Linked DNA regions of Mus musculus. The protein of the gene in region 1 interacts with the protein of each later gene in a pairwise test. Links are inferred from orthologs where the notes say so. Each region holds a gene or a part of one and is shown on either strand. Other genes may lie near its edges. The genes, in order: Hdac6, Erbb2 and Erbb4.

Region 1 (3,650 bases):
TCAGAAATGACAAAGAAAGGCTGATGTTGCCGGTAAGGGGTGAGCAGCTATGGGGGTGAGGGGCGGAGATGGGACAAGAGCAGACATGCTCCCTAGCACTTTTGCCTATCTGTGTGTATGCGTGATTCCATCCACTCCTGCAGCTTCCCTGAAAGCCCTGAGCGGCTCCATGCCATCAGAGAGCAACTGATCCTGGAGGGCCTCCTGGGCCGCTGTGTGTCCTTTCAGGTGACTCCTCCACAGCCTTCGGATGGTGGGTGCGGGCCTGCGAGGACCTAGGCCTGGCCTGGCTTCTAGCCCCCCTTTTTTTTCCTTGTGCCTCCCCAGGCCCGGTTCGCTGAGAAGGAGGAGCTGATGTTGGTTCACAGGTGAAAACTTAGGAGCTTGGTAGGGTGGGGAGGAGGATACCCAGGCTCAACCAGGACAGACTGAAGGAATCCCATAGACTCTGTGGCCAGCCTTGGGCACGTCCCTGAGCCTCTCTGAATATGTTATTGCTTTAAACAAAAAACAAAAAACAAAAACAAAAAAAAAACACAAACCCCTAAGTTCCAGACAAGTATGATGGTACATGTCATCACTTGGGACATGAAGACAAGCGAATCAGGAAATCAAGACAGCCTCAGCGACATAGCAGGTTTAACTTGGGTTTATGAGACCCTGTCTGAAAAAGCCAATCCCGAAAGAAAAAGAAATCTTAAGTCCTTCAGGAGGGTCAGTGTGTGTATCAGGTACCTGACAGCATCTTAAGCCTGTGAAGGGCTCGTGTTATTATAATCTGGTTCGTTAACTGATGGCAGATACTTGCCAGAATGATCAGAATGAGTCCTGGGGGAGTCTAGAAACTCAAAGGAAGAGGCCTGGTACAATGTGGCTCACAGAATAACTAGCCTCGCAGAGAGAATATCTGAGCTGAGTTCCAAGAGGCAAAAAGGTGGGTGAGTCCAGCAAAGAGAAGGGCAGAGGAAAGGGAGAATCAACAGAACTCTTAACTATCTAGTCAGAGGCCTAGAATTTCAAGTTAATGGCTGTCTCGAGGAACTAAATATATAACTAGAGATGGGAGAGGCTAGAGAAGAAAAAGGGACTACAGCCTGCACCCCAGCTGAACCCCCTAGGTTGACTATGGAGGCCCGACTTAATGCGAGGTCTGTCTGCGGAGGGACCAGGGCTGTAAAATCTTTCCTCTATCTTGTGTCCCCAGCCTGGAATACATTGATCTGATGGAGACAACCCAGTACATGAATGAAGGGGAGCTTCGAGTACTGGCAGAAACCTATGATTCAGTGTATCTGCATCCGGTATGGATGAGAACTGTGGGGTCAGGGTGTGGCAGCAAGTCTTGGGTGTCTACCGTATCCATGCCAACCTCACTGTGGGAATGAAGAGCTAAATAGTTAGGGCCATGCTTTCTCTCTCTCTCTAACTCTTTCTCTCTGGTTTTCCACGGTCCCCAGAACTCATATTCCTGTGCCTGCCTGGCTACAGGCTCTGTCCTCCGGCTGGTAGATGCACTCATGGGGGCTGAGATTCGGAATGGCATGGCCGTCATCAGGTAGGACTCTGAAGCGTTGGGCATCTTACATTTTTTTAAAAAGCATTTCCACATAGTGGTGCGTGGAGGTGCATGTCTGTAATACCAGTACTTATGAGATGGATGTTAAAGGAATGCTCGGGGGGTTCAGGGCTAGCCTCAGCTATATAAATTTGAGGCGAGCCTGGGCTATCTAAGACACCTTCTCAAAAAAAAAAAAAAAGCCCTACAAATGTGAAATGTGTTAACTCAGGTACCCTGTCTTCAAGTGGTTGAAGAGTCAAGTGGTACAAAAAGGGGGTTCAATAAAATTCTCTCTCCTCTTTGTTGATGGACCCCTGAAAGGTGCTCATTGTCACCAGTAACTTCCGTGTCCTTCCACAGATGGTTTTACTCAGTTAGTAAGTAATAAGTATCCCAGTTCATGGCTTCAGGGACATGTATTTCTTTTCTATCTGGAACATCTTGAAATTCAGATGCAGCGAACAGTGCGTGACATCTCAAGCCTCAGCCTGTGCCTTTCACTGTTTCATTGTTGCCCATGGAAGGTCAGAACATTGGGCCACAGCTGACTTCCTAGAACTGATAAAAATGCAGAAGATAGCCTTTGTCCTCCTCAGCCCCTTTTTGTAAGCACATGACAGCACTCCTTTCCGTACCGTGCATTTAAAAAAAAAAAAACCCTTGGACATCTTTATCTTTGAAAGCTGTCTCTTAACAGTATATGGGTTACACTCGTGTGAGATGCCATTGTGCAAGCATACTTTTAAGCTAGTCACCCCCTTGCTGGTGGGAATTTTGGTTCTCTTCAGGCTTTGATAGCATACACCAGTGGTACATTTCTAAAGATAGCACTTTTTATTATATAGGTCTCAGCTAAGCCTATGTAGCAAAATGACTGGGTATTAAAGAGTATGCTTTCATACTCTTATGGATAGCTTAATTGATTTTTATTTTTTGAGACTGGAGCTTGCTATACATTCTAGGCAGGCCTTGAACTATCGATCCTCCTGCTTCAAATTCTTTCTGAGTGTTAGTATTGCGGGCATGTGCCACAATAGCAAATATGGGTGAGGGTACCTTTGGATGGTTATGTTTAAATCTCCTTGGTTGAGAGAGTGTTGGCTTGGGGGCAGTGAAGCTTCAAAAGCCACAGTTACTCAGTTGCTGGCAGACTTATAGAATCTCTCTAGGAAGAATTGGGAACACAGGAGAGTCCACCTCTGGAGAGGAAGACTCCCAAACCTGTAGCTTTCCCTTTCCTGCTTAGGCCTCCTGGACACCATGCTCAGCACAATCTTATGGATGGGTATTGCATGTTCAACCATCTGGCTGTGGCTGCCCGCTATGCGCAAAAGAAGCACCGCATTCAGAGGTTGGTAGCCAGTGACAGACGGAACGTGGGTAGCATGGAATAGGGGGTGCTGTGGTCTAGGTTGTTCCTCTGTGTTTCACTTAGCCCCCTGCACAGAGCTCCCCTCTCTCCTGCTCACAGGGTTCTCATCGTGGACTGGGATGTGCACCATGGTCAAGGAACACAGTTCATCTTCGACCAGGACCCCAGGTACATCCCATGTCTCACCCTAAGTACTGGATTCTTAACCATCAGGCCCAGCCACAGGGGCTAGGAAGCCATTTACATTCAGTTGTCCTGGAACCAGGAAGTGGATGCTTTTCCTTGTTGTCTACTGTCTCCTAATTTCACTCTAAAGCGGAAACTGTGGCCTTCCCATTTCACACATGGTCAAACAACCTTACAGGTTCCAGTGTCAGGCAGAGAAGTGAAAGATGTGGGGTTTGACTTAGTGTTGGAGAGCTTGTTCAGCAATTTACCCCTGAGCTGGAAGGGACCTCAGATTAGTGCTTTGTCTTTTTCAATTATGACAACATTTCAAACTATTCTGAAAAATTAGTCGGGTGGCAAGGTGGCTCAGCAGGTTAAAGTTCTTGCCTGACAACTAGAGTTTGATCCCCAGGACCCACATGGTGGAATGAGAGAGAAGAAACTCCTGCAGGTTGTCTTCTGACCTCCACATATACATACCATAGCATGCACGTATCCCCTCATCTGTAAAGAGTTGGGCATGCTGGAGCATATACCTTTAATCCCAGAACT
Region 2 (3,750 bases), on another chromosome or scaffold:
TAGCACACACAGTCTTACAGATTTGTAAAACAAGACCCAGAGATCGTCAGTCACTTGCCTAAGGTCTCACTGCCAGAATGTGATAGAGGGAAGATACGAACTCAGGTCTTCTAGATACCAGAGTCCCATGTTCTTTGGCCCCTAGCGTGGAAGTGTCTGCCTGAAACTGAGTTTCAGTTCAATGAAAGTAGATTAAGAGAGGGCCACCCTTCATTTCTCTCCCCCAAAGATGCCTCTGATTGCATCTTGACCAGCACAGGTGTGTTCTTTACTGGAACATTCCAAGTACCATCATCAGATGTAGCAGATAAAGAAGAAGGACGTAATGAAGTTCAATTTGAATTTCAGATAAACGACGGGCAATTCATCCTGGTAAACATGTCTCTTGCAATGTGTTCTTGGAGTTTCCAACCAAAGGCATACCTTTGTTTCCTTTCTCACCTGTTACCAGGCTTCAGGAGTGATATCTAGGTACTTCAGGGGTAAACTGGCAGGCGAAAAGGACAGGGAGAGAGAGGACGATGAATGAAACTGAGAACTGGGTAAAGTCAGAACGAAGTGGGCATGGGGTTGGAGAGATGGCTAAGCAGTTGAGAGCCTGTGCTGCTCTTGCAGAGGACCCAAGTTCTGTTTCCAGCACCAAAGTGGGTGGGCGGCACCCTGTAACTCCAGCTCTGGGGGATTCCCACTTCCTCTTCTGACCTCTGTGGGCAACAGCACTTATGTGACACCCCCCAAAACCCATATATGACCACACATAATTTGAAATAAAAATAAGTCTTAAAAAGAGAAAGAAACAGGAGAAGCTGTTCTTCCAAGGATGAACAGAGGGCTCCCGATGTGACTCGCTTCTCCTAGTTCTGTGGGTTCCTTTAAGATCAGGCAGGAGATACCCAAAAGGACAGAATTGATATCCCAGAGAGTCTTGGAAGTCACCAGTTAGACATAACACATTCCCTTCCCAGGCTGATTTTACCTGAGGATGTGGCGACAAACCATTTATCTGGTATTAAGAGTGTGATGCAAACGTTCCAAGAGTATCCAAGATAAAACCCACCCAAGACTGCAAAGAGGGGTAAAGAGATGCCCTGCTTTTAGGAAGTGGGTGAGAACTGCAAGCAAGCAAGCGAGGCGTCAGGGCACAGGGCGCGACGCACCCAGGCCTGCGCCGGGAGGGAGAAAGTGAAGCTGGGAGCAGCCACTCCCAGTCTTGCTGGAATGCAGTTGGAGGGGTGGGGGGGCGAGCCGGGAGCGCGCGGCTCCCAATCACCGGCGGCGGAGGAGGCGGAGGAGGAGGGCTGCTCGAGGAAGTGCGGCGTGAAGTTGTGGAGCTGAGATTGCCCGCCGCTGGGGACCCGGAGCCCAGGAGCGCCCCTTCCCAGGCGGCCCCTTCCGGCGCCGCGCCTGTGCCTGCCCTCGCCGCGCCCCGCGCCCGCAGCCTGGTCCAGCCTGAGCCATGGGGCCGGAGCCGCAGTGATCATCATGGAGCTGGCGGCCTGGTGCCGTTGGGGGTTCCTCCTCGCCCTCCTGTCCCCCGGAGCCGCGGGTACCCAAGGTGGGTCTTGGCTTGGGGAGGGCTCGGGCCGCTACGGCTGCGCCCACGGGCGGCCGGAGCCGCGGGGCCCCGAGAGCTCCACGGCCGGGCGGTCCGGGACGTTGGGACGATTCCGGCTACCGGCGCCGCGGCCCGGAGGAGATCGGAGCAGTTGGGGATGGGACAGTCACTCGGAGAACCACACTGGAGGTCCGGACCGGCCCCTTCTCGCTACACCGGAGCCTCCCGGGCTCCAGGAGACTCCGGGAACTCCTTGGGAAAGTTCTCTGAAACTAGTCGGAAAGTTTTCCTCCGGAGGGTGTGTGAAGCGCTGTGCGTGCGTGCGCCTGCTTCCCCCCTTTCGAGCCCCCCTCACGCTTTCTCAGAGCTCTTCCAGTTGGCAGCCTCCGCCTCCGGACCGGACTGGGCAGGATGCCTTCGGGGTCCCCTCTGCCCCTCCCCTCCCCCTTCCCACCCCCTCTGGCCCTTTGGGTTTAGTAAGTTACTCCAGCTTCCAGTGGGGTCGCCGTGGAGGGGGCGGTGGGGAAAGTAACCCATCCTGTCGAGCAGGGAGGACCGAGTGGCGGCTCCGCAGTTGAGTTGCCTATCGATAGTGTCTGGGATATGGGGGAGCAGGAGGAGGGGCAGGCATTTGTTTGCAACAGTTCTCTCTCATTCTCTCTCTCTCTCTCTCTCTCTCTCTCTCTCTCTCTCTCTCTCTCTCTCTCTCTCTCTCTCTTCTGTGCTGGGGATGGAACACCCCTACCCTCCATCCCAGTCTCGCCCGTGTTAGGCAAGCCCTCTATCACAGTGCTGCACACTCCACAGCCCTGTTTTGAACAAATTTCCTTAGAGCCAGCTTAAGTACTGTGTGCTTTGGGATTCCGGGAAGGCTCGGATCTTGAAGGGTGGTCTTGTGTTTTCCCGGCTTCCATACAATAAACTGGAAAGGGTTCCTGGGCATTTGGGGGCGGGGGGAGGGCACCGAAAAGGAGTAAGGTCAGCTAGGGGTAGACAGAGAGCTGGGTTGTTTTCTTGCCTTTATCTTCGTGTTGGGGGCTGGGAGGGTGACCCAGCAGTGTGTATACTGACCCATATGTCCAGTTCTACCATGAGCGTAAAAGCTGACAGTCACCCCGTGTGGGTCAGCTCTGCCAGGCTCCGTGGGTGGTGGCTTGCATGCATTCCTTCTACAGTACTAAGAACAACTCCACAGTGGAAACATTAGTAGCCTTCTCCTTGTCCCAGGGGGGAAACCTGGGCTGGGGAAATGAAGTATCCTGGAGTAACTGGTGGATCCCAGGCAATGTGACCAGCCACAGGATATGATATATGATTCACATAAATACGAGTCTAGCTGAGCAGTGCGGAGACACTGCTTCCGTAATCAGTGGGCTGTATTGAAGATGCAGAACACAGGTTCTGGAAACAGTAGGTGCTCTCCAGAGGCCAGCGAGCCTGGAGGCTGGTGGAGTATCACCATCTGTGCCCCCTTGCCCCCCTCTCCTGCCCCAGTTCCTGACAGCACACTGCTGTGCTCACTGTGGGATACCCCTGTGTGTCTGAGGTTTTTATGATGGTTGTGTGTTCCTCCCAGTTTCTGTTGCCAAACAGCAGTCTCTCTGCTGACTTGGGGACACAGGATGAACTCTGCCCTCTCTAGGAACTTCCTCAAGGCACTGGGCTCTATCTGTTGTAAACACTGGGAGATGCCCCTTGCCTTCTTCAGGATGGAGTCTCCTTTCAGTTTCTCAGGAGGCCAGCCTTCCTGCTGACTTTCCGTGCAGAAGAGTGAGGTTAGACCCTTCACCTGAGCTGGGTAGGGTCTGCAGTTGACCAGAAGTGGCCCTGTGCTGTAGAGCTGGAATCTGAAGGGTCTGCTCTCCAGACAGGGAGTGGAGGGCTGCTGAGCCTTCATCCCTTCAGATGCACTGCTGGATGCAGAGGGACAAGGCAGAGTTTGCCTTGCCAGGAATGGTTAAAAGGGCAGGGCACCATCAGCTGCCTCTAGCTCCAGGTTCGACCCCAGAACTGGTCTTGGGCAGGTGTGTAGGGGAAAGGAGATCTGGGGAGACCCAGAGGATCAAGCTGTTGCTGGGTTCCTCAGTACTAAAGGTTTTGTGAAATGCAGTAAACACAGGTCTTTAACTTGGCAGGGGTCATTCCTATTTCAATTCTAGTCTGAGTCTCTCCAGGCCCTTCCTACCTTTTGTTAT
Region 3 (3,650 bases), on another chromosome or scaffold:
ACCCATTCCTATGCATTCTGTCTTCCATATGGATTGATCCTCATGCAGACTCCTGGATGTGCTCAGTAAATTGCTCTACACCACATGTTTTCTTTGTGTTAGCTGAACAGAGAGCCACAAGGCTTTACCATAACAACAGCCACCTGCAACCATCTGAACCGATCACCTCTGCCTTTGATGAAGACGTTTCCTACCAAGAGACTAATTTAAAAATTAATCCATGTCAGGCTTTTCCTGAAATTACATTTATTTGGCATTAAACACATGCATACAGTAAAGGCATGGTATTCTGGATTTTAGTGTATGTGAAACAATTTTCATCAGTAAACATTGGCATTGCCGTTAGGTACAAATGGGAGGACTTGCTTTAAATTCTGGCATCTATTATAAATCTTTCTTGCTATGCATTAAAATCACCAAGACAATGGTGAAAGAATTCTTACTGTGACTTGTCTCCGGAAGGTTTAGCATTGGAATCCTGGCAGTGAGTGAAAGACCAGAAAGGAGCTTCTTTAAGTTTCAACTGTTTGCTTTGTAAAAGTGCATCGTGATACGTGTTCATTCAAATTGTGACAGTAATTTGCTTATGTGAGAATTGTATTTCCAACTAGGCGTCACTATATGGGAACTGATGACCTTTGGAGGAAAGCCCTATGATGGAATTCCAACCCGAGAAATCCCCGATTTACTGGAGAAAGGAGAGCGTCTGCCTCAGCCTCCCATCTGCACTATTGATGTTTACATGGTCATGGTCAAATGTAAGGCTGCAAAATCACTCTTTCTGCCTGCATTATCATTCTTAATAAATAAAAGTTTAGATTGTTTTACCTGCAAAATGTTTCTCTGAATTGTTAAATAGAGTAGCAAGAATATTTACGAATGCAGAATATAAATACATGTTGTGGTAATTACTATTATGAGGTAATAGTATGCCACTAAGTTACAAAGTAAAAATTATGTCGTTCTTACTCTTACAATTTTTCAAATTTCCATACCCTTTGAAGTTTGTCATAAAGAGAGATAATTATTCATAAGAATGTTAGTAATAATATTAATGTTAATCTTTATGGGAAAATAGCTAAACATCATTGAGAGTCTGAAAATGAATTAAAGTAGATATGGGTTTAATTAAACATAAGTTAACAGAGCAGGTTGGGAGTCAAAAGAGACGAATCCACAACGAAGTAAAGATTAAGATGTTTACTCTTTTTAATTTGGTCATTTGCTTACATCAAATGTTCTTACTTTTCTTTCCACTTCTATACTCCAGGCACATATGTATTATAAATGTGTTTTGAAAGCCTAGACCCCTAATTTTAATAGAATTAAAAAAGTCTCTGGGGTTTCTGACTTAATTTAAGTGCGATTAACTGGCAGCCATCTCTCTTGTATAATCTGAGGTTTTCCAGTTTTGATTTACACAGGGTTAAAGGAAGCCACTAAGTGGTGAAGGTGAATAAGCATTTTATTAATAAGAGACTCTGAGACTCTGGGCCCAGGTCTTCTCATATTTATATTCATGACATGTGTGATCTATTCTGACAGGAAGAGAAGGAATAAAAAATGTTCCTTGCAGTGCAGGTCAGCATGCCCTTTTCTCTAAGCATAGTTCTATTTACTCAATATTTAGTTAGGGAGAAACAAATATCTCACGCTGAAGTTAACCTTTTTTGGCTCTAGTAGCTTTGTCATTAGCATCTTGGTATTAACAAGCATTTTTTTTTTTTTGGAAACGAATACCCATAAGGTGCAGAGTGCTTGAGCTTAAGAGAGGTGACACAAAGGATGCATAAGATGATACCCAAAGGATTTCCAAAACAAGAATTAAAAATTAACTCTCCAGGAATAGAAGAATTCTGTATTAGATCAGTCCTTGTTTACTCCATGACCTGGGAGAGAGCTTAAAAACATCCCTATGTTATATGATAATTTGATCCTATAACCAGCATCAGATGTTATCTGAATACCCCAATGTGATGACGGAAAGGCAGGCAAACATTTTGCCTTATTAGACAAAGCATATACAATGTTTCACCTTTGTTTTTCTCTCTTCCCCTGGAGAGTTTATGCTTTAGAAAAGGATCATTTGGCAAGGAAATCAAAGCAAGCTGGGCGCTGTTATTCTTGTCATCTCATCAGCTAAACAGAGCATAGGCAGTTAAGATCCATTTTCTCTGAACTCCCAGCTAAAGAAGACTACCTACCTTGAAAACTAGTATTTTTATTCTGGGAAAGCTAATTCTAAGATAAATGTAATGAGGATTGTTGAACACACATTATAAATCATGTTCCATTTTCCTTCCAAACAGGAACAAACCTGCCAAAAGGAGTTGCTATCAAATTCCCCATTTTCAATCTTTTGTACTACAGTGCTATGATGAGAAGCAAATATTTCCTACCATGTACTCTTGATCTGAAACTTCATTTTCTATCTCTGCAGCCATCAAAGAATGCTTTAAGGACATTATCTTAACACTCCAAAACAAGAACAACAAAATCTGAGGTTCTAAAATTTCCCATGGTTAGCTTAAAAGCTATTTTCCAAGCTAAAAAAAAATTGAGTTTGACTCAGAATGAAAATTGGGGATCATGTAAAGATGGGTCAGCAGTTAGGAGCTTTTGTTGCTCTTGCAGAAAACACAAATTTAGCTTTCAATGCCTACGTCAGGCGATTCACAATCACCTGCAACTCCAACTTCAGGGGATCCAATGCCCTTTTCTGGCTTCTGTGTACCTGCCCTCATATGCCCATACCCACACATAGAAACAATTAAAAATAATTGAATTTAAAAAATGTTATTTATAGTATATTGCATTTTGTGACAAATGTCAATTAATTGAGTTACAGCATAGTTCACTTCTTTCTCTAGTTTTGTTTTGCATATATATATATACATATATATATATCCCCATATTTCCCCAAACTTCAACTTTACTAATTATTACATACACTAATATTTTACTGTGTATTAATCTCCAGGTTGGATGATCGATGCTGACAGCAGACCTAAATTCAAAGAACTGGCTGCTGAGTTTTCAAGAATGGCTAGAGACCCTCAAAGATACCTAGTTATTCAGGTTAGTTATTTTGATGTTGCTTTTAAGAGTCTCTAATAACAAACTCTATTTAAACTTTGCAACTTTGAAAACATCCAGCAATAAAGTGACCATGTGAAAGAACTTGTGAAGTCATGAAACTGAATATGGTTCTATATATGTCTATGAGACAAAGCAGGCTCAGAAAAGCAAATGCTATATGTTCTCTCTCATATGCATAACCCACATGCATACATATACACATATACATGGTATAGGCCACAAAACTAGGAAGAGATGATTAGAAAGGAAAAAGGTTTCAAGGGAAAGGTAAACTACAAAAGAGGCTAATAGAATACATATGACAGAGAAATGGAAAGACTATTTCAGAAGGAAAGGGCTAAACAGCCAGAGGAGAGGAGTACCAGAAGATGATAAACCAAAATAATGTATGTATGTCCTTTCTATCATAACACTATAACAAAATCTGTACGTTCATATGTTAATTTAAAAAGTACATGTGGATTGTTTTATCAGGCGAGGTGCATAGTATCTAAGCAATAACTCAATTTAAACGAATTGATGCCTAACTAAACCAAAGAACAATCCAAAAG

Evidence for each region.
Region 2: the proteins of Hdac6 (region 1) and Erbb2 interact in a protein complementation assay, tested with the Homo sapiens proteins (2 studies listed by BioGRID and IntAct, with this or other methods). The link is inferred for Mus musculus from reciprocal best matches to the Homo sapiens genes HDAC6 and ERBB2.
Region 3: the proteins of Hdac6 (region 1) and Erbb4 interact in a protein complementation assay, tested with the Homo sapiens proteins (2 studies listed by BioGRID and IntAct, with this or other methods). The link is inferred for Mus musculus from reciprocal best matches to the Homo sapiens genes HDAC6 and ERBB4.

The regions. Positions count from the first base shown.
Region 1 is NC_000086.7:7,941,292-7,944,941, reverse strand, and holds part of Hdac6 (histone deacetylase 6), read left to right. Parts: intron 1-143; coding exon 144-228; intron 229-327; coding exon 328-368; coding exon of another isoform or gene 369-372; intron 373-1,204; coding exon 1,205-1,301; intron 1,302-1,457; coding exon 1,458-1,555; intron 1,556-2,804; coding exon 2,805-2,909; intron 2,910-3,029; coding exon 3,030-3,098; intron 3,099-3,650.
Region 2 is NC_000077.6:98,411,181-98,414,930, forward strand, and holds the start of Erbb2 (receptor tyrosine-protein kinase erbB-2 precursor), read left to right. Parts: upstream 1-1,303; 5' UTR 1,304-1,482; coding exon 1,483-1,555; intron 1,556-3,750. UniProt on the Homo sapiens protein: Protein tyrosine kinase that is part of several cell surface receptor complexes, but that apparently needs a coreceptor for ligand binding. Essential component of a neuregulin-receptor complex, although neuregulins do not interact with it alone.
Region 3 is NC_000067.6:68,072,526-68,076,175, reverse strand, and holds part of Erbb4 (receptor tyrosine-protein kinase erbB-4 precursor), read left to right. Parts: intron 1-611; coding exon 612-758; intron 759-2,980; coding exon 2,981-3,078; intron 3,079-3,650. UniProt on the Homo sapiens protein: Tyrosine-protein kinase that plays an essential role as cell surface receptor for neuregulins and EGF family members and regulates development of the heart, the central nervous system and the mammary gland, gene transcription, cell proliferation, differentiation, migration and apoptosis.